Mus musculus: one gene and its partners. The protein of the gene in region 4 purifies or fractionates together with the protein of the main gene of each other region. This does not show direct contact. Links are inferred from orthologs where the notes say so. Each region holds a gene or a part of one and is shown on either strand. Other genes may lie near its edges. The genes, in order: Cherp, Snrpa, Prpf3, Sf3a2, Sart1, Cdc5l and Dnajc8.

Region 1 (3,500 bases), on a different chromosome or scaffold from region 4:
AAAGGCATGCACCACCACTGCCCAGCTACAGAGAGTTTCTAAGACAGTCTACACAAAGAAAACTTTTCTAGTTTAAAAAAAAAAAAAATTCTACTCCTATCATGGTCTTGTTTTTGTAAAGTACAATAAAAATGTGAGCTGTAGGGTGTTGCTTGTTCCATAGCAATTGACACTCAAGGCTGCTCACAAGCCACTCTGACTGCTGTGGTAGAGGCCTGTTCTGGTGTAGAACACAGTTTCCTATTAGGTGTGATACACGCAAAGGCAGATCGATAGCAGTGATGTGGAAGAGTGCATGTAGTTGGCATGCTGTTGACTAGTGTGAGGGTATGTATACCGCTCATCTGAGTGGCTTGCTATACTCGACTGGGAGGCAGTGCAGGGACTTTGAGAGGCCTAAGTCTGTGAAAGCCCAATGGCCCATGGTGACACCTCCAAAGTGGAGCTTCCAAAAGGAATATGGGATCTGGAGCTTATGAACCAGTATGAACCAGGCAGACATGTAGGGTGCCATTAAAGCCTAGGTGACACTGTCTTTCTTTGCTTTTATCCAAAGTCATTTGTTTTGATGAGTCTTAGGCTCCTAAGAGTGTGGCTATGTTCAGTTGAGGCAGGCAGGGCCTAAAAGTAGAGAGTAAGGAGGCCATATTGTTAAAGTCGTACCTGTGAGTAGGGGCCTTCCTCTCCAGAGACCTTATCTGGGTACATGCCAGCCTCATATACAGTCATACCAGGGTGTTGCTGGTGATTCAAGCTAGTCCAAAGGCTGCAGATTGGGACGGTCACCACAAGCCACAAGAGGTGGGGCTGGTCTTGGGGGCACTCCAGCCCTATGTGTACTGGCCAGACCTCCAGAATGCTGGCTGTCTTGAGTGAAGGGGAGATTAGGATCCAGTGGCTTGGGACAGACACACCTTGGGAGAGGTGCCACATCTCCAGCCCTGGTCATAGCTTGCAGTGCATAGTAGCTTGGTCAGGCCTGCATGAGAAGGGAAGATGGAAGGGTCAGCCTGTCTTGGGACAGTGAGATCAAGCACAACAGGGAAGCTTGGGCAGGATGGCCGTGTGCGGTGGACAGTGGATCCATCAGGTCCTCTCTCTGGAGGGCAACCTGATGGATCACCAAAAGGAACCTGGGGCACCCCCTGAGCTCACAAGGCCCATCTCTTTCCTGCTAGTAATCTGCAAGCAGCAGGCCCCAGAGCTGGAGCCCACCTCAGCCATGCCCCCTCTGCCACAACCTCCGCTGGCTCCCACAGCGTCCCTCACTCCGGCCCAGGGCACCCCATCAATGGACGAGCTCATCCAACAGAGCCAGTGGAGTCTCCAGCAGCAGGAACAGCACCTGCTGGCCCTGCGCCAGGTATGCCTGCATGTACTGTCAGTGACCCTGGAGTCACCTTCCAGTAGGTCTGTGGGTCATCCACAGGCATCGCTCAGTGGACTTGTACCCATTGTGGATGCCAACACATGGCGGCTTAGGTACCTACCATTCTTAATGAGTAGGGAGGGGCATTATTGGCCCCATCTTTTAGGTTGGTTCTGTTGCCAAATTCTATAGGGATGAGCTACCTGAAATGAAAGGAGAGAAGACATACAGACCTGAGTGCCAGCCCCACTCAGGGTTTCCTTGCTTACCACCATCACATATCATGCATGGATGTTTACCATCAGTCATAGTCTGGACAGTTAGGTCTTAGACAGCAGAACCAGCCTCTACTCTTGGTGACCTATACCTACTATTTACTTGCTTGTGTTTAGATTGGTTTGGTTTGGTTTTGAGATAGCATCTCCCCAAGCTGCCCTCAGCCTCCCAAATGGTCACAGGCACATGTGTTAGCCTTTACCCCCTGCCTTGCTCTGCTTAGGTGATCCATGAGCACCCTGCCTCCTTCACATTTTCCTGTTAGCTTAGGCCAGGCTGCCTTGCCTGCTGTGATGATGGACGATACCAGTGTTTGTGCAAGGGCCCTGCTCATACCACCTGTCCCTTGTGGTTTTCCCAGGAGCAAGTAACGACAGCCGTGGCACATGCAGTGGAACAGCAAATGCAGAAGCTGCTGGAAGAGACACAACTGGACATGAGCGAGTTTGACAACCTGCTACAGCCCATCATTGACACCTGCACAAAGGATGCCATCTCGGTGAGGCTCAGTATGGGGTGGGGGTGTCGTCGCCTGCCCGACTGACCACCCACTCACCCTGGACTGACTCTCAGGCTGGGAAGAACTGGATGTTCAGCAATGCTAAGTCCCCACCACACTGTGAGCTGATGGCAGGCCACCTGCGCAACCGCATCACTGCTGATGGCGCACACTTCGAGCTGCGGCTACACCTCATCTATCTGATCAATGACGTGCTGCACCACTGGTAAGTACTTGACCACTTGGTCCAGAGCCCACACCTGTCAGGGACCCCCAACTCCTCCAGTTTCCACCCTTGCTGCACTTGCACACTGGTTCACTGCTTGTACTCCCAGGACAGTGGCTGGCACCCCACAAGGCAGGCCTTGGGCACTGCTGCCTCCTCTCTGCCTCTGTAGCCATCATGTGTCTGCTTCGGTCTGCATAGCCAGACACCTGGCCGATGCACTGTCTGCTCTTCCATGTCTTAGGGCTACCTTTGCTGATCCTCTCTCCATCAGTCTTCTCTTTGCATTGTATTTGGCTCCAGCCTCCTGGGGCCTGGTAGGTGTGTCTTTGCATGGCCAGCGGGTGAAGTTGATGAAGGAAAACAGAGTCCAGAACTCTGGTCAGAGACAGGTGCAAAGGTCCCATGCTAGTGACACATGCCAACAGTCAGCTGGGCTGGCTGCCCTCTGGCTTTCAGCATGATCTTGAGGCTAGGACAGTTGATAAGTATATATGGCTCCCATGAGAGCAGGAGAAGCTGGTATCTTTCTCCCTAACTATCTTCATGCGACCCCTCCTTGTCAGGCTGTGTCCACACCCTCCTGCTTTGTACTCTATTTCCTCTCAAGGTGTCTTGCTCCTGCCTCTTAGGTAGGGCCTCTGCGCAGATGGCCTCTCTCCCACTCCCTGGGACACTCCTCACTCGGCTCACACAAAGCTCTGACCTGCACTGCCTTCCCTTGCCTACCTCCTGGCCAACTCTTGCTGCCCTTTGACCTCAGCTGTGGGAGCTGAAGCTATTAGTCCCTGCCTGCACCTTTCCTGGGTCTGCATATGGGCTGTCTTGCTGAGCCACTACTACTCCCGAGGCCTGAATACTGCACAGCTGGAAGGGCTGCCTTTGGCTGCTTCTTTCCCTTTATCCCCTCTCAGTGGCACTGAGCATGGAAGCCAGGGCCTTGGCACCTGGTAGGCAAATGCTGTGCCTTGTGTTGACCACAATCCTCATGGGTGGTTAGGCTCCCGGTAGCTTTCTCAGTGGCCCTATGAGGCTGGGGAATCCCTTCTGAGCAGATTGTTGAACCTGCTTGTGCATAGTAGTGACCAGGTCCTAACCACAACGGCCCAATTTCACCCTTTACACACATG
Region 2 (3,383 bases), on a different chromosome or scaffold from region 4:
TGGGCCATGCGTGGTGCTACACACCTTAAGTCCCAGCACAAGGCAGGCATAGCCTTGTGGGTTCGAGGCCAGCCAAGCTACATGGCAAAAGCTTTTAAAATTTGTGACTGTGTATGTGTACATGAGCGCAGTCCCTGTGGAGGCCAGAAGAGGGCACTGGATCTTCTAGAGCTGGAGTCACAGGGAGCTGGGAGCTGCTGTCTGGGGTTGGGAACCATGCTGTCTGACCACTGAACTATCTTCAGCCTCCCTCCAGTGTCTTTATATACAGCTGAACAAAGTTGGGCCATGCTGTAGTCACTGTGACCTTGCTTTCCATGACCCTGTGACATCACTCCTGTTCTTGTTCTCCACAGGGCATGCCACCGATGCCTCAGGCACCCCGCATCATGCACCATATGCCAGGACAGCCTCCCTACATGCCGCCACCTGGCATGATCCCGCCACCAGGCCTCGCTCCTGGCCAGATCCCCCCTGGGGCCATGCCCCCACAGCAGCTCATGCCTGGGCAGATGCCGCCTGCCCAGCCTGTAAGTGCCCCTGCCCCACCACATGGTCTCATAAGCATGATCTGCGAGCAGAAGTGGAGCAGTTACAGGGGGCTTTTAGGTTGGTGGTGGGTGGCGCTGGGGCTGAGCTCTGTGGTGAGCCGACCTTGTCAGAGGGGAGTTGGTTTGTGAATTGGTCTGGGAGAGCAGGTTGAAGCTAACTAAGCCAAGGTGTGCATCCAGGTTAGTGCACACACTGGGGCCCAGTACAGTAGTGGCAAAAGCTGAAAGGTCTCTGCTGTCTTGGGCCTTTGGTCTCTGGGAGACTGGTGAGAGTGTGTGCGTTGGGGGACATGTGAGAGAGACTCAACGGGGTGGTGATGAGAGTGCCGTACCCAGCACCCCTCTCAGGGTACCCTGATCATGGGCTCCCATCTCTCCCACAGCTCTCCGAGAACCCACCCAATCACATCCTGTTCCTCACCAACCTGCCTGAGGAGACCAACGAGCTCATGCTCTCCATGCTCTTCAACCAGTAAGTGGGGCGGCGGCCGGGCGGGCGGGCGGGCGGGGTCGGGTCGTTCCGGTGCCCAGCACCTGAAGGTGTGAAGCAGGAAAGGAAGATGGTGCGTGAGGACAGACAGTGCTGTGGGCATCCATGCACAGGTAGTTTGGGTTCCGGGCTGCCTTTTCTGCTTCAGTGACATAGAGAGGTTCAGAACAAGGGAAAAGTGAAAGAACAGCAAAATGTTGGGCAGGTTTAGACTGGTATGAACCAGCCTATTCAAAAGATGGCAAGGACATTGGGGACACTAGGAACTCTGCCCTGCCAGTGAGCTGGAACCTGTAGACCTTGAATAGAGGGACTGCAAAGTGGAGAAGGGCTGTTTGCCTAGTCTTCAGGTTTCCAAGCACACCTCTTACAGAATTGTCTGGTCAAGCCTGGGAGGTAGTGCTGATGTATGCTTGCAATCTCAGTATTTGGAGGGCTGAAGCAGGAGGACTGAGTTGAGGGTTATTTTTCCACTATGTAGCCAAGGCTCTATTCTATGAGGCCCTTAGTTGGGCGTGTGACTTGCTATTCATGCGTGAGGCTCTTAGCCTTGTCTGGTGTGGAGGGATAATCAGCCCTGGAATGTGGAAGGTTTTATTGGCATGCGACCTACCCCATCTCTCTTTTTAAAGATTTTCTTCGTTTTACTTTTAATTATGCATTTATCTGTGTGTGGGTATGTGCCAGAAGTGTTGGATATCTCTGAGTTCAAATTTTAGGCAGTTTTGAGCTGCCTGACATTGGTGCTGGGAACCAAACTTGGGTCCTGCAAGATCAATTCTTGATTTTACCTGCTGAGCCCTCTCTCCAGCCCCTCCCTTCTTGTTTATGATGGAAACAGATGGTTTATTGAGCAAAAATACACAGTCTTCATATGTTACTCTGGCTAGCCAGGAGCTGGTGATCTGCCTCTGCCTTCCGTGGAAGTCTAACCTTCCATACCTGCCTTGGATGATTCTTTAGAATTATGCTGAAGGAAAATTTGAGAAACCAAATAAAACTGGAAGCAGTACAGCTTGTATGCCATCTCCATAAAATAGTGCATGTTTCTGAGACTGCTTGTGGGAAAAGACATCCATTGACCTGGAGGAAATGAGGGAATTCCAACAGTCACCATGGCATCTTGTAATCCCAGGGCTTAGGCTGAGGACCTAAGGTCCAGCCTGAGCTAGGGATCCAGTCCAACAAAGCAAACACCAGAGACAGAGTAGGGATTGGTGACATTTTGTGGGACTGGATTGGACTTTGGGGGAAGGAAGGGGCGCCAGCGCTGTTTGAGGCCACATTGTGATTGTTGAGATTTTTCATTTAATGCTGTTTACGGTAGGGGTTCTCCATGTATTTTGTCCAGATAATCTTTATGTGTGGGGTCTGTGTTCTACATTATGGGACGCTTAGCCTCTTTGGCCTCTGTTACTTTGGTGCCAAAATATTAGGGGAAAGCTGAGGTGGGTATCTGAGGTCTGCTATTCCCTCCTCCCAGGTTCCCTGGCTTCAAGGAGGTGCGTCTGGTCCCTGGGCGCCATGACATCGCCTTCGTGGAGTTTGACAATGAAGTGCAGGCTGGGGCAGCACGAGATGCCCTGCAAGGCTTTAAGATCACACAAAACAATGCTATGAAGATCTCTTTTGCCAAGAAGTAGCGCCTTTCCCTATGGAGTACCCCAGTCCCTTCCCCCCCTCCCTTGGCTCAGTCCCTGAAGGTAAGTCCCCCTTAGGGACCTTCTCAGAGCCGTGTGTGTGTGGTTGCCACACAGCATTGTACCCAGAGTCTGTCCCCAGACATTGCACCTGGCGCTGTTAGATTGTGATTAAAGTGAGTTTTTGAGGTTTGGTTTTTTACCAGTGTTGTCTGCTTTATTTTCCTGCCTGCCTTGGTTCCCTCCACATCAAAAGTCTGGATCTAGTGGCGTCTGTGGGTTCCCAGTCTGAGAAAACACTTGGGAGTGTAATAGTATTAATGAGGATCACTGAGTGCAGGAACAAGACCACCATGGACAACCCGCGCAGGGGGATACTCCTTCAAGAGCACATGGCGAGGCTGCTCCTGATCCTGCTTTTGCACTCTGCAGTAAAGAGGAGTGGCGCAGGGAAGACTTTGTCCCCAAGGCATTTGAGTGAGGAGGACAAAGCTGTTGCTTGCATCATTAAGGGACTCTCATGTTGTTGCAGCTAGGGGAGAGGAAACCTCTCCACATTGGCCCGGTGGCTGTGTCACATGGATGCTGTAGTCAGCCCCTTCTGGTTTGTAATTTGGGATGTCTATATCTGTCACCCAATGGGCAGTTAGTGTCCCCAAAGTGAGCTTTATTTTCTTCCTGTGTGAAAAGGGATCCTCTATT
Region 3 (4,056 bases), on a different chromosome or scaffold from region 4:
TATTTGGGGGATGTGTAGTGGGGAACTTGCCATGGTAGACAAGTATTTATTAAGTACTTAATTGTATGAGTGTTACTGTAAGTATAAGCACTAAGCGTGTGGTGGCTATTCCTGGTTATCTACTTGACTATATTTGGAATGAACTACAATTCAGAATTGGAAGGCTCACCTGTGATCCTAATCTGGAGGCTGAGATATACAATTTCTGACCTGGATCTTGGCACGGAGATCTTGAGGCATAGTGGCTATAAATTCCAGAAAATTAAGACTGGGGGATCTTTGAGTTGAAGGCTTGGTGGCACACACCTTTCATCTGGGCCACACCTTCTGCTGGAGACCTACATAAGGACATTGGAAGAAGGAAGATTCTCTCTCTCTTCTCCACCTGCTTGTCTTGTGGGACTGAGCAACTGCTAGATCCTTGAACTTCCTTTCATAGCTGCTGCTGCCCATTGTTGGGACTTGGACTACAGACTGTAAGTCATCAACAAATCCCCTTACTATACAGAGACTACCCATAAGTTCTATGACTCTAGAGAACCCTGACTAGTACAAAGCCTAAGTTAACTTTTATGAATACGGTAGATGATACTACAAGTACAATAAGGAAAAAAAAAAGAAAAAAGAAAAAAAAAGTGGGACTCTAGAGCGTCAAGTATCAAAATTAAATAGGGCGGCCAGAAAGGCTTCTCTAAGGCTAATTTGAGCACAAACCCGAAGTAGAGTGGAGTGCAAATCTTGTAGTTTTCTTAGTAAAGAGCCATGCAAGGCAGAAAGCGACAAGCGAGAAAGTAGTCTGGTTTCTGAGGCTGAGCTAGCAATTGGAATACTGTTATCCCTAGAGGTTAGGAAGTGAGGCAGGTTTTGGTGTTTCATTGGCGAATGGGAAGCCAGGGGATAGCTCTGAATCTGTTCTTTTTTGTTGCCTGGTCTCTGGTATCGATTTTAAATTAGGGAGGCAAAGTTAAGGGAGGGCAGCTAATGCTAGAGATCACAATTTTTTTTTTTTTAAACTAGAAAGGACACTTTGAGTACGAATGTGGACGTCCTTGCTTTTAGTTCTAAGTGATAATCTTAGCGCACTAACTCTTTGGACCCGAGGGAATGTGATGCCAACCGATTTCTGCTCCGGGAAATAATGCCCGAACTAACGTTGGCATCGCTCCGGGACAACCCGCGGACTAGGCTTTAGGATCCCGCGGCGCGTGCGCCCCGCGGCCGGCACCTTGATACCGCGGCTGCGCAGCTGAGGCCCCGCCTTCCGTAGTCACGTGCCGTAGGGACCGCAGCGTGGCGGTGTGTGGCGGTAGCGACGGCGGGCCGTAGGGCAACCGGAAGGTTTCCGGTTCCGGTGTAACGTTCGGGCTCCGTCTCAGGGGCTGAAGTTTGTGAGGTGAGTAGTGGCCCCGCGCCCGAAAGGCTGTAGCCTTCGGTGCGAGCGGCTGGACAGGGCGGGAGTGCTCGGCGGGAAGCAGGCTGGGAGGACTCCCTGGTTCTGTCCGGGGAAGAAGTCAGAATGGGCTGGCTGAAGGCAAAGGGCGGGGGCGGGAAGCAGCAGGGTGGGCAAACCTGCCCTGAGGTGAGGAGTTAGCGCGGACTCGGTGGGGCCGGGGCCAGGTGGGAAGATAGCAAAGACCGGAGCATGGGGTTCCAGGGGCTTGTAGCGTAGAAAAGTAAGGAATCCCTTCGGAAGATGAGATTCTGCTACCTGCTCATTCAGAAGACAGCGTTCTGCCTCCCTCCCCTTCCCCTTCCCCTTCCCCTCCACCCCCCAGCCCCCCACCGACGCTGACGCCCCCTCGCTATTAGAGTTGAACATCTGGTTAGTGACAACTCTACTGACTGAAACTTTCTTATCCATTGACTGTTTCGTTTGCACATTCGGGTCGAATTTGAAGACATCCATTTGTTAGTATATTTCTTGAGCTTACATCCAATATGCTTAATATGCTTCACCTATTACTCTGGATTTTGAAAATTGCTTAAACTTTCTAGCCTATTATTCAATTGTAGTGGGTTGTAAGTCCCATTAACATGAGGATTCTTGGCTGTTTTGTTCACTGCTGTGTGTGTCCTTACATGCAGTAAGTATTCTGCTTGACAAGAAATAGTAACTTAAGTATTTATTGAATGGAGTGTTATACCAGATGTCTCATTTTCTAAGATAAGTATACTGAGGCTCTCGGGAATTAACTTGCTTTCCTAAGGGCTTATGAATGGTGGTGCTTACTATATTCTATCTTAAATGGGCTTTCTTCTCCACTTTTAGTGCCTGTGGTTGCTTTCTTTTTGATAGGCAGTATACTGCTATCTCATGATGGCCCAAAAAAGCTATCCCAGGATTATTCATAAAAGTTGTCACTGAGAAACAGCCTTCCAGATTCATTCAGATGTATTAAATACTGTGTATTGACAGATCTTATGAGAGAGAAATCTGTCAAGAATGTAGGAGCTAATTAGACTGCATCTTTTTTTTTTTTTTTTTTTTTTTATGACAAGGTCTCATGTAGCCACCGGTGATGTTGAACTCTGTAGCCAAGGCTGGACTTGAACTCCTGATTCCCCTTGTGCTGGGATCACAGGCTTGTATGATCATTCTGAGGTTGCATTTTTTAGATGTCTTTAAACATCTTGAAAGAGTAATTCCCAGATCATACTAAGATGCATGGCAGTGCTAAGAGGAGGTCTTATGGGAAGTTGAGGTCGGTGCAGTCAATAGATTGACATGCAGCCATTAGGAAGAAAATCAGAAATTAAGTTATCTTTATGCTGGTGAAGATGTTGAGATTTAAGATTACCCAAATGTAAGCATGAATAGTGTTGAAATTTTTCTCCAACTGTGTTAAGTAATAAAAAAATCATGTTGGTGTATAGAATACTTACCAGCATGAATAAAACTACAGAGAAAGGTGACAGCATTCTTAAGGATTATGAGATTTAACACAGGAGGACTGACTTGAATAAACCCTCTTCTTTGAATCCGTTAGACAAGTTTTAGGTCAAAGTTAGGTTAGAGAATGGCTTCCAGAGCAGAAGTTGACTTCTAGATTGACTCTTCAGATGTTCTGTTTGCCAGTCTTTTGTGTGACAGGGTCAGAGTTAGAACCCATTCCTCAGATTACGTTATTCCTAGTTTGTTCATTCTTTAGATAGCAATGATGACTGATGCTGAGTTAGAATTAAAATATCAAATGAGTGGGGCATGGTTGTATGCTCCTAGAATTTCTCACTGGGCAAGTGGAGACAGGAGAGTTGCCAAGTGTTGAGTTCTGTATGAGCTACATTGTAAGACCGTATCTCAAAAAAAAAAAAAAACAAAAACAAAAACTAATGGACCCCTTCCTTCTGTTTTGAAGCTTGGTTTTAGGGAATGTATTTCCCTTCATATGAAGTGGAGAGATGTGCTTGGGGTTGAAAATAGGAATGGGGAAAAGCACTCTTATTATGCTATTATCTTGATTGTTTTGTTTTCCTTTTCTCTGACTCTTGCTTGGTTTCTTTTAGGTGTAGTTTTTTTGTCCCATTGGAGCTCTCATTCTCCATTTTCTCCGAAATGGCGCTGTCTAAGCGGGAGCTGGATGAGCTGAAGCCATGGATAGAGAAGACGGTGAAGAGAGTGCTGGGCTTCTCAGAGCCCACAGTGGTCACTGCAGCCTTGAACTGTGTGGGGAAGGGCATGGACAAAAAGAAGGCGGCTGGTGTGTACCTCTCTCACTCTTCTGACGTATAGTGATTCCAAACACTGATTTGAACTTCCCCAGGTTGTCCCTGTTAGGAGCATTAAAGGAAAGGTGGTGCTAGCCCCCTTCTCCTTTTGTTATTTGCTTGTTTTGAGACAAGGTCTCCTGTGTAGTTGTGTCTGACTTGGAACTCCTTAGAGATCCACCATCCTCTGCCTCCTGAGTGCAGGGGTTAACAGTGTGCACCACTCCCTCCTCCCCCTTTTTTATTTAAAAGACAGGGTCTCATGGAGCCCAGTCTGGCTTCCAGCTCACTAGCTGAGGATGGCCTAAGACTTATGAGTCTATTTCCTCTACATCAGCAGCTCTCCAGCTG
Region 4 (3,688 bases):
CAGGGTCTCACTGTGGAGGGCTGGCTGGCCCCGTGTACTCCTGATGCTCCTGCCTGTGTCCCAGGCTGTCCTCTAACATAACCGCACAGGTTGGCTGGACACCAGCTATCCTTTATCCTTTTGCTTTGACTGTGTGCTCTGGGAATGACCTTACAAATAGTAATGGATACCAGCCATCAGCAGAGTCACTTCTGCATTTTGGGGCTAAAGGGAGGGGGTGTGGCTATTGTCCCTTTTTCTGGAGGGGCAAGGACACTGGGAGTTCCCACCCCTCCTTTCCCACCCCTCTTGCTGGAGGACCAGACTGATCAGGCATGGATGGAACAGGTCTGGCCGGGTTGACAGTGGGGTGGTGATGAGCAGTGTTCTAGGTTCCAGGCCTCTGTTGGAAGCTCCTCCGGACAGCTGCCTATTCCCACTGGTGGACTCAGCACTACAGACTTTTGCAGTGAATGCTGCTCTAAACTGCAGAGGAATTTCTGGGGAGGGATGGGTGCAGAGGCTAGTCACAGGTCTCCCAAGTGCAGCCACAGCCACTGTGATGCCCTGTAGGCTCCCATGCTTGGCTGAGCCCCAGGCCTCAGCTAAGCCGGTACAGTTGCTCTGCCAGGTGCCCGTCCTGCCCTCCCTACCTTCAGCAGCATGTCTCCTTTCTCTTTGCAGGGGAGCTACCTGGCCCATACCCAAGGGAAGAAACATCAGACTAACTTGTGAGTCCCTACAGCCCTGGTTCCCCGGGACCACAACACTGTTACTCAGTAGGGAAATCTGGCTGGATGAATGGGGAGGGGAGGGGAGAGGCTACCTGCGTCTACATTCTTGACCCCCTCCCCCCATCCCCAGCCCATGTTTAGCCTTACTGTCTCAGTACAGAGCAGATGGCCAAGGGGCAAGGACATTGGTGGTGCCAGGATTCTCACCTGTTCTGCCCTGCTTGGTGTACCCCAGGGCAGAGCCGCCTAATCCTCTCCCTCAACTCTTGAGGGCAGGGCCTCTGGCTCCTGGTGCTTGGCCTTGGTGGCTGGTGGAGGGCCCAAGCACTTGTGTCTGTTTGCAGGGCCCGGCGAGCTGCCAAGGAGGCCAAAGAAGCCCCCGCCCAGCCTGCACCGGAGAAGGTCAAGGTGGAGGTGAAGAAGTTTGTGAAGATTGGCCGCCCTGGGTACAAAGGTGTGTGTGTGTGTGTGTGTGATGGCCTCCCTATGGCTGGGGGCTACGGCATGAATGAGCCCTGGCCCTGGCACCGGACATACCCTTGTCCCTAGGACACACAGCCGACTTCTCTGTCCTCAAAGCATCTTTCCCTTAGTGTTGCCAAGAGCCCCCAGGTGCTGATAAGTACCATCCCTACTGGCAATCTCCAGAAGCAGGAGGGGGAGGCTGGCTGTTGCAGTCACTGCCCCTGGAGCCCCTCTGCAGAGGCCCCTGGGTGACGTGGCCTAGCCAGAAGACCAATCACATGGCCAGCAGGAGCCCAGGGACCCAAGTTGCCAAGAGTCCCCTTTGGCAGGCAGGGTCCGTCCTGGGGAGGCTGTGACACAGCACCTCCCTCCTCATACTCTTCTTGGACTTCAACAGCTGCCCCTGCATAGAGTGCTGGGTTGGGTTGCCCTCCCTCACTTTAGGTCCTAGCCAGTGGCCTTAGGCAGAGAAGCCAGGCCTTGTGTTGAGGAACCCTGTTCTGTTGTGCACACACAGCACATAACAGCCCCATCCCTTCTGTTGCAGTGACCAAGCAGAGGGACACAGAGATGGGCCAGCAGAGCCTGCTGTTCCAGGTGAGGTGGGACCAGTCAGGGGTGGACCAGACACACGGGTGGTGATGCCAATAGTGCTGTGCATGTTTTACAGATTGACTACCCTGAGATCGCAGAGGGTATCATGCCACGCCACCGTTTCATGTCTGCTTATGAGCAGAGGATCGAGCCTCCAGACCGCCGCTGGCAGTACCTGCTCATGGCTGCTGAGCCCTATGAGACCATTGCTTTCAAGGTAGCGACCCTACAGGACAGAGAGAGCAGCTAAATTCAGCTGTCTGTGTATCCTAGCCCCTCCTTGGGGTGCTGCAGCCTCTGACTTTCTCCCTAGGTGCCAAGCCGGGAGATTGACAAGGCTGAGGGCAAGTTTTGGACCCACTGGAACAGAGAAACCAAGCAGGTGAGGTTCCACAGGCCTTGCGTGGGTACTCTCTCAGCGCTCCTCAGTGGCCCTGCCCCAGTCACTGACCCTCTCTCCTACAGTTTTTTCTTCAGTTCCACTTTAAGATGGAGAAGCCCCCAGCACCTCCCAGCCTCCCAGCAGGACCCCCAGGCGTCAAGCGGCCCCCGCCCCCACTCATGAATGGACTGCCTCCTCGCCCACCACTCCCTGATGCCTTGCCCCCACCTCCACCTGGTGGCCTGCCTCTCCCTCCTATGCCCCCCACTGGGCCTGCTCCCTCTGGGCCCCCTGGACCTCCCCAGATGCCCCCACCAGCTCCTGGGGTGCACCCCCCGGCCCCAGTAGTACACCCACCAACATCTGGAGTCCATCCCCCAGCTCCTGGGGTACACCCCCCAGCACCAGTGGTCCATCCACCAACATCTGGGGTCCATCCCCCAGCCCCTGGAGTGCACCCACCCACCCCTGGAGTGCACCCACCAGCCCCAGGAGTGCACCCACCAGCTCCAGGTGTCCACCCACCAGCTCCAGGGGTACACCCCCCAACTCCAGGGGTGCACCCACCAGCTCCAGGGGTGCACCCACCAGCTCCAGGGGTGCACCCACCAGCTCCAGGGGTACACCCTCCTCCATCAGCTGGAGTTCATCCTCAGGCTCCAGGGGTACACCCACCTGCTCCTGCAGTACACCCTCAAGCCCCTGGGGTACACCCCCCAGCCCCTGGGATCCACCCTCAGGCACCAGGGGTTCACCCTCAGCCGCCTCCTGGAGTCCACCCTGCTGCCCCGGGGGTCCACCCTCAGCCTCCAGGGGTTCACCCCTCAAATCCTGGGGTGCACCCTGCTCCTATGCCCCCCATGCTGAGGCCCCCACTCCCCTCAGATGGCCCTGGGAACATGCCTCCCCCTCCCCCAGGCAACTGAGCAGTCCCCCCACCAGCCTCTGTTGTCTGTGTGGTCTTTTCCCATTGCCAGTCCTTGGAAGGTTTTCTATTTGTCCTGCCTTGAGCCTATTAAACAGCCTCCCCCGTGTCTCCCTGTCTGCTGTGTGTTTGGTAGTGGGGAGGGTGGATACTGCTTGTCTCTGTTGAAGCTGTGGTGACCTGGGGCGTCCTCCAGGTGGGCTCCCCAGGGAGATGGGAGCTACTCAAGGACAGCTCAGGCCTCTGCAGTTATGGGCCCAGCTCTGAGGACAGAAAGCCCTTTGAGACAGTCGCCTCCCACCTGCTGGGCATGAAAAGTGCCAGGCACTGTCCCCCAAGGTCACCTTTGGTGTTGATAGGGGCGTCCCTCCCAAGCAAGCAATCTGGCTCAGCCATACATATAAGCAGGGCCACCCGGACCTTGCTGTACCACCATGCAGGGGCCACACCTCTCTCCACTGGTACTGCTGCTAGCGACTATGGGGGCTGTGTTACAGCCTGAGGCGGTTGAAAACCTGGCCACCAATACCAGGGGCCTCATCTTCCTTGAAGATGAGCTCTGGCCCCCCAGCAGCCCCCCTGAACCTTTGTGCCTGGTGACAGTGAGAG
Region 5 (4,300 bases), on a different chromosome or scaffold from region 4:
TTTAAGGAGCAACCGATCACTTAGAGCAGAAATGGAGCCCTCTTCTCAGAGCCCCCCCAAAACAGAGCCAACCAGCAGCCAGCCTGGAAGACGCCCCTCCCCAACCCTGGACCCAGACTACAGTCCCCGAGAGAAAAATTAAACGCTTTATGGCCAAGTACAGTGTGAGACTTCTGAGGGGAGTTGGCTGTGGGTCGGAGATAGGTAGCGGAAGTGGGTGGCAGAGGTTGAGCTGTTTCCCCCACGCCCTGGAAACCCAGGCTACACCTCATTCTCAACAAGCCGTCTCTCTACTGAGGCGTGGGGCACCGGAAAGGAATCCGCTGAGACTTTGCCATGCTTTCCCCAACATGCCAGGGGACCTAGAAATCTTAGTGAACAGGACCCTGCCTCTGAAGGCGCTCAGTCTCGGGGTGGACCTTCAAAGGTGCCCATCCCCCACACCAAACCACACCAGCGAGGTGCTACACCGGAAGTCCAGAGAGGAGCAACGACTATCAGATGGGAGTGTGTGAACCCTTAACTTAAACCCTTAACCCTTTACTCAACCCAAAACAAAGCAACCAAACTAAACAAACAATCAAACAAACAGAAACCCAGGAAAAGTCGAGAAAAGCATGTAATCCCAGCCTGGGCTACATAGTTAACAGGCTAGACAGAACGGGAAAAACAAAAAAAGGAGGGAAAGCATATACATGCACAAATGTGCCGAATTTGCACTCAAGCCTGGAGTGGCCATGCACACGAGAGGCTGACAGAGGGACTGTGGTGGGTTTGAAGACAGCCAGGGGTAAGTAACAAGTACTAGACCTACCTTTACAAAAAAAGAAAACTAGAAACAAACCATCACTCAGTATCACCAGGTTTATAGGCACAAATTCAAAGAGCACTCCAAAGCCTAGTTAAAAAGGTCCAATCCAGCTGGGCGGTGGTGGCGCACGCCTTTAATCCCAGCACCTGGGAGGCAGAGGCAGGCGGATTTCTGAGTTCGAGGCCAGCCTGGTCTACAGAGTGAGTTCCAGGACAGAGAAAACCCCTGTCTAAAAAATAATAATAAAACGGTCCAATCCATCAGTCTAGGGGACATAGGATGACGGTAGCGTTCGCTAAAAGAAAGAGTATTTTCCAACTCTGGATGGAGCCCCGGCACTAGGGAGCTTGCTTGGACAGTCACTGGAGAGGGGGCTGCCCACAGAGAGACTTGAGGCACAGAGCACCACGAAGCGATCAGAGTGGAAGGGGAAGGAGGCAGGGGAAACTTCTAGCTCCGGAGATGATGACCCAGTACCATGCTAAAGTTCTTACGGCTCTACGACTACCATCTTAGATGGCGCGAGAGGGTGGACGGCGCAGTCTCTACAGGTGCGCGTGCGCAGAGACCAGTAGCTGGCAGGCGGGACCGCGCACCCTCAATCAGTCCCTCCCGTGAGCCTTTGGAGGTTCCCAGGCAGGCCCCGGAAACAGCCCCTCTTAGTTTCCGGCAACAGGAACGGGGCGGTCGCGCGACCCGGAAGCGTTCCCATTTCGCGTCGTCTGGGCTAGGGTAGCGGCCCGGCTCCAGGCGGACGCAATAATCATGGGGTCGTCAAAGAAGCACCGTGGCGAGAAGGAGGCGGCCGGGACGACGGCTGCGGCCGGGACTGGGGGCACGACCGAGCAGCCGCCACGGCATCGCGAGCATAAGAAACACAAGCACCGGAGCAGCGGCGGCGGCAGCAGCGGCGGCGAACGACGGAAGCGGAGCCGGGAGCGTGGGAGTGAGCGCGGGAGCGGGCGGCGTGGGGCGGAAGCCGAGGCCCGCAGCGGCGCGCACGGTCGCGAACGAAGCCAAGCGGAGCCCTCGGAGCGGCGCGTGAAGCGGGAGAAACGCGATGACGGCTACGAGGCCGGTGAGGGCGGGGCCCGGGGGCGGGGCAGGGTCTTGGGATGCCCAGGACGGAGGGTACGGGAGGACCTCGAGGGCCATCTGCCTCTCGGGTTAAAGACGTCCTCCGGGTGTTTGGGGTTAAACGTTGACGTCTCCACGTTAAGCTTTAAGAAGACAGGAGTCTTCCTGCCTTCCCTGTCTTCCTGGCACTTCACAGCAATGCATTGGGTGGGTGAATGAGGTGGGACGAGCGTGTACAGACAATCGACCAATAGCTCATAGCGGAGACATGAAGCAGTAAGATAGGCTTGGGTCTGAACCAGCGCTGTAAGCCCTGTTGAGAAGTTTGGGCTTTGTTATGAGGATGGTAGGGAGCCAAGGATTTGAGTAAGCAAGTGACTTGAATTGCATGATATTTTATGAAGATCAGTGGGTTGAGAGCTTGTCAAACGTAGGACCAGAGATCAAGAGATCGGGAGGGAGGTCCAAGCAACCAGGTGAGGGCTAATAGTATGCATGTTTCTCTATGCAGCGGGCCGGAGAGAAGTGGACAGATTGAATAGGAATTCGGTCTGATTGGCCTGGTGAATGGAGGTGTCATCTGTTGGAACTGAGTTTAGAAGAGAAGCAGATTTGAGGCAGGGGAGAATGACACAGTTTTGGGAGAACTTTATGTTTGGTGTATATGGGAAACCTTACAGTTTAAGTGAGATAGAGTGACTTTGGGCTGGTGTGTATTCAGGAAACCAAAGAAGTGCCTTAGAACATGTGGAATGAGAACGAGAGTCAGGCATAGAACCTGCTAAATTCCAGTAGTTCAGTTGTGGGCAGAGGAACATGTTGAGGAGCATAAATAGTAGCCAGTGGCAGGAACCCACAGTCTGCCCATAGGATCTATGCAAAGAGAGCATTGCTGAAGTGTGATCCACCACAGGACATTAATCTTTTAAACAAAGGATTGTTTTTATGTTAATGCATTTGAGTATTTTACCCTCATGTGCCCGTGCCAGCAGAGGTCAGAAGAAGGCATCGGATCCCCTGGAACTGAATTAGATGGCTGTGAGTTGCCATATGGATTCTGAGAACCAAATTTGGGTCCTCTGTAAGAACAGCAAGTGCTCTTATCCCCTGAGACATCTCTCCAGTCTCCAGATCAGAAATTTTCTTGAAAGTAATCTGCTAGTTGGAAAAAGGGAGACTTGGGACTTGACAGTTCCCACAGAAAGTGGAGTGGTGCCAAGGCAGAGAAAGGGACTGTTGGGTTAAAGAAGAGAGTGACTGCAGTGGTTGAATACGGCAGAGATTTTTGAGAAGATGCCCTCCTGGTAGGGCCTGGTTGGGGGAGCTAAATTTGATGCATCTTCCTCTGTATGGTGTTTGTTGAAGTTCTCTTCTGTTTGTGGGATGGGTAGAGCAGGTCCAGGGTGCATGCCTGCTTATTTATGTTCTTGTTTATGTACATGTACCTGTTCAGCAGCCATGGATGAGCTGGGTTACCCTGAAAGGGGGGCTGGAAATGAAAAGGACTGGGTGCGAGAGAAGGATGAAGCCAAGACAAACGTTTCTGCACGGCTCAAAGTTCAATAGTCAGCCCTGCATTTATATAGGGAGAGCCCGCAGATTTGTTTCTGCTGGACTGAGCTGCAAAGTGAGCTCAGTGGGCAGTCTGCTCCTGTGGGAAGTTGACTCCACCTGGGTCTGGGTCGTTACTGTAGCCTGCTCAAGGCTGGGGGAAGGGCACGTGTATACATCGGGCGTGGAACACTGCTGTGGGCAGAAAGGGCCAGAAATGGTGAGCAGTGCTGTGCAGTTGAAGGCAGAGCCTTAACTCTGGTTAGTAATTGAACAGGGCTTCATGGTGGTTCGAACTCAGAAGTCCACCTGCGTCTGCCTCCCAAGTGCTGGGATTAAAGGCGTGCCCAGCCCACTGCCCGGCTCTTGATTCTTGATAGAATTTTATCGGGGCTGGTGAGATGGCTCAGTGGGTAAGAGCACCCGACTGTTCTTCCGAAGGTCTGAAGTTCAAATCCCAGCAACCACATGGTGGCTCACAACCATCCGTAATGAGATCTGACTCCCTCTTCTGGAGTGTCTGAAGACAACTACAGTGTACTTACATATAATAAAAATAAATAAATTTAAAAAAAATAAAAATTAAAAAAAAAAAAAAAAAGAATTTTATCATAACAAGAGCAGAAAGGACAGTGGAGGCTGAAGGTACAATATGGAGTGCCACAGTGAGGGATGCAGAAAGTTGGGCTGTTGGGTGAGAAGGGAAGGTATTGGAAGAGGCAGTCCTGCCAGCCCAGGGCCTGGGTAGGAGCTGTCAGGGAGCTCGGGAAAAGCTCCTGTCCTTTACCCAGGTGCTGGTGAGGGGCCCTTGTCTTTGACCTTGCGGCTGGACCAGCAGTGTTGCTTCCTGGTCCTGGTTCA
Region 6 (4,186 bases), on a different chromosome or scaffold from region 4:
GAGGACTGGTTCAACTGTGGATTTATTAGGCCTCTCGATTACAAATAATGGAAAGCTAACTTCAATGACTAAATCCAAAAGGGGGATATGGAAGTAGTTACGACTTGGGAATGTTCTAGATCCAGGGACCATGTAGTTCAAAATACAATTGTTAGGTGCCACACAATTGGTAGGTTAGAGGCTTATCAGCTAGCAGAAACACTGACCTCTTTTGGATCCTAGCGTTAAGATCCCCAGAGAGGAGTGTTCAGATTTGCTTTGATCTGGTCAACCAAATGGTGTGTGACCTGGGTGTGTGGGATAAAAACCATACAACTAAGTGATGTTGGCAGGAGGTAATGGTTACACATCTTTACAAGAGAGCATTGCAAAGAGTACCAGAGGCAGAAAATGGCTTGTTAACCTGTCATCCTGTCAGATGACAGGAGTGAAATGAGATTGTAGGTCACTAAACCCAAGTGTTCTTCATAACACTACACTACCTCCCTCTCAACTGAAAGCAGTGATATTTTGATACAATTTCCTATTTCAAGGAAAAAAATCGTAACAAAAATCGAATCGGAAAATCCGTCATGTCTTCTAGAAGGGGCAAACGGAAGCATGAACAGTGACAACAAACCAGAGCCGCTATGCACGGAATAAAATCTTTCCCTAGGGACCTGGGGTGACACCAAGTAATTAATTGCTCTGGAATAGTGGAGAAATCTGCGTGGGAAAAGAGAGAGGAGATGGCAGAGAGTCTGACAATTTCCACTTCACCGAGACTTTGTGGACTCGCAGCCGCCCTCTGATTTGATGAACAAGTTGTTTGTTCCACTCTTCAGAGGACGACCCCGGATTCCAGGGGCGAGACTCCCGCAACTCACCGAGTTTGTTCCACAGACACCCAACAGCGAGGGATGAGGGAAAGCGGCTGACGTGACGCTTCCCAAGGGTCCCTAGGGCGTCGCCTCGAACCCCTTGTGGCTCTTCCAGGAAGGAGAGCGAACACTTTGGGGCGAGCAGTCGCTCAGTCCCTCAGGTTAGAGTTAGGATCTTGAGTCCGTCCGGCATCCTCGGCGCTTGGCGCTGCGAGTTGGAGCTCCTAGAAAGAGAACGGACTCGTTTGCATCTCCCCGAGGACTCAGCGAAGTCCTCGTCGGTCGCCGGGATGCCCAGCGCAGCGCTCCGTTAAACAAACAGACAAACAAACAAGCAAACAAACAAACAAACAGCGCTCCCTGGGGACCAAGCGTGCTGAGGAACGCCACACCCCTCACATTTATTCCCCACCCCCGGCACTGCCCTCCGCGTGACGTCAGGACCAATCCCTTCACTGCGTTCCCGGTCAAGTTCCAACTCTGGCATCTCGCGAGAGTTTTGTTTTCCTTCACCCTAGTCTCGGACCTGCGCGCGACACGTCGGGCGCCTTGGCACCTGCGGTTTGATTAGTCTCCATCAGTCTTAAGGTTGCAGCCTGGCCGCCCGCGTCTTTTGCCTTCGGCCGCTAAGATCTCGCGAGATTTCCCGGGGCTGCCCACGCCGCGCCTGCGCAGAGCTCTTCAAAGCAGAAGGTCGCTCTTGGGAGGAAGTGGCCTTTTGCGTCCCGTGCCCGGAGCGCCGTTACTACTTTCTCGAAGCTCTCCTCGGCTCCCTTGCCGGGACACTCTGCCGCTAAGATGCCCCGGATTATGATCAAAGGGGGAGTGTGGAGGAACACGGAGGTGAGGCAGCTTTTCCCGCCGTCCGCAGCCCTCCGCCGGCTCTGGTAGCGTGTGCGCACGCGCGGGGAAGCTCCGGGAGCCGTGGCTGTCCCGCGGGGGTCTGCGGTGCGGGGCGGCGACTGCGCGGACCCCGGGGACCCTCGCGGTGCATGGGTGCGGGCTCGGGTCACCTGGCTCACCCCGGGGGCGAGGTCGCGACTTGTCGCCCGGCGCTCCTCGCTTGGCATTTGCTAGGCCCTTGATCACTTATTTGATCAGTTAGGGACGCGCCCCCTCGGTGTCTTCTGCAGCCCGGTGGCCGCCGACCGGACCTCCCCCGGAGCCTGGTGTTTCTCCAGCTCCTTTCGATCTCAGCTCGTGCACAGCGCTTCGCTCTGTTAGAAGCCGTTGTGGCTGCAACTTTGTTTTTTCCGTGACTTCTTTACAGCCGGACAGGCTGCCCGTTTACGTCTGCACCTCTCTGCTTATCTTAGGACCTGGGTCCTTTCTCTTACCTTTCCAGTCACGCCACCCTTGCCGGGATAGAAGCCAGTTAGGACAAACTTACCTACGGTGGTGTTTGCGTCCAGAAATGTTGTAGATTATGTCACGGTGAGCGGAACAGCAGAAGGAAGGAAGTAAAATAGAAATTAAGTTAACGTGCATTTAATCGAGTGCGCCGAATGTATGAGCACCTTTCCGTCTGTCTTGTGCGTTCTTGAGATAGCTCCTTATTGCTTTGGCATCTTTCTGAACATGCTCCAAACTTAGCTGAGAACACTTCTTAGAGTCCTCCTGGCCCATTCGTTGGTCGTCCCGTTGAGAGTTAGTTGTTTAGTGGTTTGGTGGCACCTATTTTTCATTTACTACAGCTTTGTTTTCACAAGCACTTTTGTGTGGCTCCGGCTGAGTTACTTCTGAGAGCCTCAGATTACTCATTTTTATAAGACAAATAAATAATTGTATTTAAGCTCTTGAAACGAGTTGCCAGTTTGGAACATTGTGAACGCAGCTGGGTACATTAGTAGGCTTTCAGTAAAAAAAATGAGTTGCTGTTGTCTTCATCAGACAGCAGTATAGTAGGACCAGGCTTTGGCATTCTAGTATGAAGCAGGTTTCTTGGTGATGTTTGGGAATGAATCTTGTAGGATAGGTACCTGTTGTATGTATTTGGTTGAAGATGCGTTGAAGTTTTGAAAAACTTTACCAAAGTTACAAATGGAGGCACTGAAAAGGGACTTGCATGCACTAAGACAATTTAAACTAGAAGAGTTGGCTTCTGAGGAAGAAGCAGAGTCACAAAATCAAGTAACATCAGGATTCCTCTATAATGGCCAAAACCCAGCAGAGTGTGTGTGTGTGTCTGTGTGTCGATGTCTGTCTGTCTGAGATAGGGTCTTATGTAGCTTAGATTGACTTTGAACTTGCTATGTAGATGAGAGTGACCCTTAACATCTGATCCTCCTGCTTCTACCTCTCCTGTTCTGGCATAAGAGGTGTGTACTGTCATGTGTAAAGTCTTATGGGAATCTAATCCAGGACTTAAAGTATGCTAGGTGGGTATGCTACCAGTTAGCAGTGGGAGAGAAGATGGAGTGGAGGGTTTTATGTAGAAGACAGGCAATTCAAGTTCATTGTAGAAAAAGCCTAAAAGTAAAGTGCTCAAGTGCATTCATCTATGACTCTTAGGTCTGTGAGCTCGCGTGGCAGGATGTCTGGGGATTGGGCTATACTTTGGGTACTCTGGTGAAATGGTTTTTAGAGATTGGAGTAGGTAGACAGGGCGCTGACTGATGAGGTAGAGGAGCTGTGGATCCTGGGCTGTTGTGAGTAGGATGCCTGCCAGAGAGGAACTGTGTTGAACCAGAGTCTCAAGTTTCTTCTTTGATTCTCTCTCCAGAAGTATAGAAGACCTGCTTCAAGGTAGATAGTCAGGAAATTTTTTGTTCTTGTTTTGAGAAAATATATAAATGTATGTGAACTTTGTGAGGAGAATGGCAGGTACATGCCAGTGAATAATTTTGTCTGTCATAAAGTAGTGTTTTTAACATTGACTTTTTCCACCTCCAGTTTGTTGAGGGCCAGGTAAGATGTCCTTTTTTTCTGTTTTTTTTTTTTTTTTTTTTTTTTCTGTGGCTGGTGAGCCAGCAGTTAAGAGCACTGACTGTTCTTCTGAAGGTCCTGAGTTAATATCTCAGCCAACCACATGATGGCTCAAAACCACCTGTAATGAGATCTGATGTCCTCTTCTGGTGTGTCTGAAGACAGCTACAGTATACTTATGTTTAATAATAAATAAATCTTTGGGCAGTAGCGAGTAGGGGCCTGAGTGAGCAGAGGTCCTGAGTTCAGTTCCCAGCAACCATATGATGGCTCACAACCATCTACAGCTACAGTGTATTCATATACGTAAAATAAATAAATAAATAAATAAATCCTTTTTTTATTACATATTTTCTTTATTTACATTTCAAATGCTATCCCAAAAGTTCCCTATACCCTCC
Region 7 (4,248 bases), on a different chromosome or scaffold from region 4:
AATGTCACTTTCTCAGAGAAACCCTTCTTTGACCTTCCTAGTCATCCTGACAGCAATTTTTTTTTATCCTTGCTTCTGAGTTCTTTCTCACAGTTTACTTTGTGAAGCCATCAGAGCCTTAGTAGGTAGTGAATTAGTAATTTTGAACTGTATCAATGTGTCGGTGAATGGACCTAATAACTTGGTGACGGGCTACAAGGACACTGAAAAGAACATCAAGCGAACTGGTGGTACAAACCTGTAATCCCAGCACTCCTGAGGCACACAGGAAGAGCTTAATCTAGCTTAATCTAGCCTATTCGACAAAGGGAATTCTGGGCCAGCCAGGGCTTCATAACAAGATCCTGTTTTCAGAAACAAACGAATAAACACCCACACCCCCCCATACACTCCCCCCCCGCACCCCCCCCGCCCCCCACACATAGGGCTAGTGCTGGGCCCCAATGGTGAAAGGAGAGAACGGACTCTTGAAAGTTGTTCTCCCTGACCTCTCCATGTGCATTGTGACACTGTGCCCCCACTAATAAGTAAGTATAATTTTAAAAATTAAATAACAAACTCCAAGCACAGATCCTTATACATGCATGCTCATAATTGCTTCCATCCCATTTTCCGATTTTGTCCCTACCTCAATGAGATCTGTTGTAACTCGGGATGGCCTCAAACTCGCAGTGAAGAAGCCAATTTCTCATCTTTCCGTCTCCACCTCCCCAGAGTTGGGGTTACAGGCATATGTCCAGCTTCATAATACTATTTCACAGTGGTCCAAAGGTGAGAAGACCCCAAATGTTGAACTACTGAAGAGGTCAACAAATCATAGCATAGACATACCTTTGAGGAATTGGATGCCACCATAAAATGCAGTAAAAAAAAAAAAAATTTTTTTGACAGTTTTTTTTTCACAGGCCTGGCTGTCCTGAAACTTACTATAGAGACTAGGCTGGCCCCAAACTCAGAAGATCTGCCTACCTCTGCCTCTGGAGTACCAGGATAGGCTCCACTGGGATAAACTCTTAAAAAACTGGTACATGGTGGTTACCCAGGCCAGTTCCAGCACTCCAGGGAGTCATGTAGATCTCTGTGAGTTTGAGGTCAGCCTGGTCTACAGAGAGAATTCCAGGACAACCAAGGCTACACAGAGAAATCCTGGGTCAAAAAAACCAAAAAACTGTCACATGAAAAAAACCTAAATAAGAATTGTATAAGTAGATTCCATCCATGGGAAATGTCCAGAATAATAATAGGTATATCCAGAGACAACAGATTTCTTTCTGTCAGAGACTGGAGACAACCAGGGCAACACTATGAAACTTTATCCTTATTCTGAAAAACCAAAACTAAAACCGAAAAAAAAAAAAAAGAGGTCTCGGCCCCTTTAAGTTCAGCTGGCGGGCGGGGAGTCCGGGAAGGCGGGCTTGGGTGGTTACGTGAGGCTGCGCTTGCGCAGAACGGTCACGTGGTGGTTAGCCGGGAAAATGGCGGCTTCGGGAGAGAGTGGTGCTTCGGGTGGCGGAGGCAGCACAGAGGAGGCATTTATGACCTTCTACAGTGAGGTGAGCCCGGAGTAAGGATGGTGGCCTTAGGACGACCGTGCTCCGGCTTCGTCCGCCGCGGCTGGGGCCGGCGAGGCGCCTCCTGGGACCGTTGGCCCGCGCCGTCTGGCCTGGGGACTGCGGATCGGCTGCGGAGTGCATGCGCGACCGCCACTGTGGCTACTGAGGTCCCCGGAACGCGGCGGGGCGGCTGGGCCTGTGGACCCAGACCCGGAGAGGGGCCCGGCGAGCTGCTGGTCGCGCGGTGCAGCCTGCTGGCGGTGGAGTCTCCGGCTGGCGGAGGCCGAGCTGCGGCGCACCCACTTTTATTTGTAAACAGGAAGGAGGCCCTTGTCCCACTCCTCTGCCATGAATTGTGCGAGTGGCGATTTCTGCGGTCTTATCAGTGCTGAGCACTGTTCATCGGGACAAGAATGCGTATGTGAACCCTCCATCTTTAACATGACGAACCTCTTAAGAGGGTGCATACGTTCTTGGTGTCAGGTAGGACAGGAGTGAACTTGCTCTGAGCCTTGTTGACATTTGCATCGCCAGTGCCTAATGCGTGGTGGATGTTTCGCATATATCCGTTGATTAAATGAATGAATAAACTGAGTTAAAGTTAGCTATCTGGCGTCAGAGGCCCACATATTGCGTTCTCGCAAGGCAATTAGCCTAACTGCTGTTGAAATTTCAAGACATCAGTTCCCACACTGGCAAGTTAACATTGTAAGAGTTTTCACGACGATTAAAGGGTTTCGTGTATAAAAAAGCAGCTTGAAAATTATAAAGCAGTCGTTTTCGAATTAAGTACTTTCTGGTAGCCCAGGTTGGACCCTCTTGCTTCAGCCTCCAAAGTGCTGGGACCAGAGCCATTATCTCTTGTGCTTATAAGAATACTTGTAAGCCGGGCGATGGTGGTTCATGCCTTTAATTCAGCACTTGGGAGGCAGAGGCAGGCGGATTTCTGAGTTCAGGGCCAGGCTGGTCTATAGAATGAGTTCCAGGACAGCCAGGGCTACACAGAGAAACCCTGTCTCAAAAAACAAAAACAAAAAAAAAATTTTTTTTTTATGTTAGGAAATATTTTTTTCCTTCACATTGTTAGCATATTTTGCATTGCTCACAGTTGGAGAAATTTTGGTCCATCTTGGTGGAAAATGGAGGCAGGGCAGTTGACATCCTCAGGCAGGAAACAGAGAAGAAAGGCCTGTGCTTCCCGGTGCAACATTGACAATCAGCACGGACTCTGATTTAGCCCTCTTGTGTTTTTATTATATTTTTTTAAATTTAGTTTTGGCTTTTTGAGACAAGAGTTTCCCTGTACAACCCTAGCTGTCCTGGTGCTTTGTAGACCAGGCTTGCCTTGAACTCACAGAGATCACCCACCCGTGTCTGTCAAAGATGGTTGCCGCCATCACCCTGCTTGTCCTTTTGTTTTTAAGACAAGTACCCAATGAAGCTTAGGTGGCTTTACTCACTTCGCAGTGTAGGCTGCTTGGAACTAGGGCTCACTCTCCTGCTTCAGCCTCCTAAGTGCTCGTGTACAGGAATGAGCCACCACACCCAGCCGTTTTCTTTTGCCAAGGGTCAAACCCAGGATCTTGTGCATGCTAGGCAAGAACTCCACCAACTGAGCCACCTCGTAAGTCCTTCATAATGGTGTTGAATGTTGCTCATAGGTCATGGTTCAGTGTGCATTTTGCCTTTCAAAATGAAAAGAAAAAAAAAGATAGATTAATTGTACCCACATGCAGCTATATAGGTCTCTGGTGGTAGTTGTGTTTAGTATCTGGGAATCCTCTCGACCTCTGATTGTGAGTCAGACATAGGGTAAATTTCTAACAAGTTAGGTAATTGGAAACCTCACTTTCTGTAAGCCATAATTTCCCTATAATGGGATAATGGGGGCTGGAGAGATGGCACAGCGGTTAAGAGCACTGGCTGCTCTTGCAGAGGTCATGAGTTCAATTCCCAATAACTGCATGGTAGCTCACGATCATCTGTAATGAGATCTGATGCTCTCTTCCGGCATGTGGGTATTCATGCAGATAGAGCATTCATATTCATAAAACAAAATAATTAAAAAAAATGTGGAGTGGCTAATACTCCTGGAGAGAAGTGTTTACATAGTAAATGTGAATTTTACAGATTGCATGTAGCGTACATGTATACACAAATGGGCACAGAGGTCATTGTCATATGTTTTTCACTGTCCATATTATTCTTTTAGACAAGACCTGTCACTGAACCTGGAGCTCAGCAGTTTAGCCGGGCTGTGCAGGGTGTGAGCTCTGGGGGCCTCCCTGTCTCCTCCCTGCCCAGCTCTGGGTTTCCAGGCGCACGCGGCCATGCTTAGCATTTACGTGGAGATCTGAAATATCATTGTAAAATAGCTACGCCGCTGTGGTTGTTCTCCAGTTACCAAAGTGTCTTGGACATGGGAGATATAAATCGTTGTCTGCTGAGCATTTTAGCGTTGTGTTAAAGTAGATATATTTAGCTTATTCTTACTAATGGGATTACCAATTCTTTTACTTTTAGGTGAAACAAATAGAGAAGAGAGATTCAGTTCTAACATCCAAAAATCAAATTGAAAGATTGACTCGTCCTGGTTCCTCTTACTTTAATCTGAACCCATTTGAGGTGAGTAGATTGTTACTGTAGAGTTTGGTGGGAGAGCTTTGCATATGACAGTTATGTACGAGTTCGTTAT

The links.
Region 1: the proteins of Sf3a2 (region 4) and Cherp purify together in Homo sapiens (affinity purification with mass spectrometry; 3 studies listed by BioGRID, with this or other methods). This does not show direct contact. The link is inferred for Mus musculus from reciprocal best matches to the Homo sapiens genes SF3A2 and CHERP.
Region 2: the proteins of Sf3a2 (region 4) and Snrpa fractionate together in Homo sapiens (co-fractionation; 3 studies listed by BioGRID and IntAct, with this or other methods). This does not show direct contact. The link is inferred for Mus musculus from reciprocal best matches to the Homo sapiens genes SF3A2 and SNRPA.
Region 3: the proteins of Sf3a2 (region 4) and Prpf3 purify together in Homo sapiens (affinity purification with mass spectrometry; 3 studies listed by BioGRID and IntAct, with this or other methods). This does not show direct contact. The link is inferred for Mus musculus from reciprocal best matches to the Homo sapiens genes SF3A2 and PRPF3.
Region 5: the proteins of Sf3a2 (region 4) and Sart1 purify together in Homo sapiens (affinity purification with mass spectrometry; 3 studies listed by BioGRID and IntAct, with this or other methods). This does not show direct contact. The link is inferred for Mus musculus from reciprocal best matches to the Homo sapiens genes SF3A2 and SART1.
Region 6: the proteins of Sf3a2 (region 4) and Cdc5l purify together in Homo sapiens (affinity purification with mass spectrometry; 3 studies listed by BioGRID and IntAct, with this or other methods). This does not show direct contact. The link is inferred for Mus musculus from reciprocal best matches to the Homo sapiens genes SF3A2 and CDC5L.
Region 7: the proteins of Sf3a2 (region 4) and Dnajc8 purify together in Homo sapiens (affinity purification with mass spectrometry; 3 studies listed by BioGRID and IntAct, with this or other methods). This does not show direct contact. The link is inferred for Mus musculus from reciprocal best matches to the Homo sapiens genes SF3A2 and DNAJC8.

The regions. Positions count from the first base shown.
Region 1 is NC_000074.6:72,468,734-72,472,233, reverse strand, and holds part of Cherp (calcium homeostasis endoplasmic reticulum protein), read left to right. Parts: intron 1-1,178; coding exon 1,179-1,363; intron 1,364-2,006; coding exon 2,007-2,144; exon of another isoform or gene 2,145-2,218; coding exon 2,219-2,370; intron 2,371-3,500. UniProt on the Homo sapiens protein: Involved in calcium homeostasis, growth and proliferation.
Region 2 is NC_000073.6:27,186,506-27,189,888, reverse strand, and holds the end of Snrpa (U1 small nuclear ribonucleoprotein A), read left to right. Parts: intron 1-356; coding exon 357-530; intron 531-934; coding exon 935-1,023; intron 1,024-2,524; coding exon 2,525-2,684; 3' UTR 2,685-2,883; downstream 2,884-3,383. UniProt on the Homo sapiens protein: Component of the spliceosomal U1 snRNP, which is essential for recognition of the pre-mRNA 5' splice-site and the subsequent assembly of the spliceosome. U1 snRNP is the first snRNP to interact with pre-mRNA.
Region 3 is NC_000069.6:95,853,086-95,857,141, reverse strand, and holds the start of Prpf3 (U4/U6 small nuclear ribonucleoprotein Prp3), read left to right. Parts: upstream 1-1,256; 5' UTR 1,257-1,393; exon of another isoform or gene 1,394-1,822; intron 1,823-3,504; 5' UTR 3,505-3,553; coding exon 3,554-3,698; intron 3,699-4,056. UniProt on the Homo sapiens protein: Plays a role in pre-mRNA splicing as component of the U4/U6-U5 tri-snRNP complex that is involved in spliceosome assembly, and as component of the precatalytic spliceosome (spliceosome B complex).
Region 4 is NC_000076.6:80,801,735-80,805,422, forward strand, and holds the end of Sf3a2 (splicing factor 3A subunit 2), read left to right. Parts: intron 1-663; coding exon 664-710; intron 711-1,057; coding exon 1,058-1,167; intron 1,168-1,725; coding exon 1,726-1,775; intron 1,776-1,848; coding exon 1,849-1,989; intron 1,990-2,085; coding exon 2,086-2,154; intron 2,155-2,237; coding exon 2,238-3,080; 3' UTR 3,081-3,188; downstream 3,189-3,688. Other genes in the region: Amh (muellerian-inhibiting factor precursor), read left to right, coding at 3,514-3,688. UniProt on the Homo sapiens protein: Component of the 17S U2 SnRNP complex of the spliceosome, a large ribonucleoprotein complex that removes introns from transcribed pre-mRNAs.
Region 5 is NC_000085.6:5,385,904-5,390,203, reverse strand, and holds the start of Sart1 (U4/U6.U5 tri-snRNP-associated protein 1), read left to right. Parts: upstream 1-1,500; 5' UTR 1,501-1,576; coding exon 1,577-1,889; intron 1,890-4,300. Other genes in the region: Tsga10ip (testis-specific protein 10-interacting protein), read left to right, coding at 7-142. UniProt on the Homo sapiens protein: Plays a role in mRNA splicing as a component of the U4/U6-U5 tri-snRNP, one of the building blocks of the spliceosome. May also bind to DNA.
Region 6 is NC_000083.6:45,430,908-45,435,093, reverse strand, and holds the start of Cdc5l (cell division cycle 5-like protein), read left to right. Parts: upstream 1-1,386; 5' UTR 1,387-1,658; coding exon 1,659-1,703; intron 1,704-4,186.
Region 7 is NC_000070.6:132,534,111-132,538,358, forward strand, and holds the start of Dnajc8 (dnaJ homolog subfamily C member 8), read left to right. Parts: upstream 1-1,448; 5' UTR 1,449-1,475; coding exon 1,476-1,553; intron 1,554-4,076; coding exon 4,077-4,178; intron 4,179-4,248. UniProt on the Homo sapiens protein: Suppresses polyglutamine (polyQ) aggregation of ATXN3 in neuronal cells.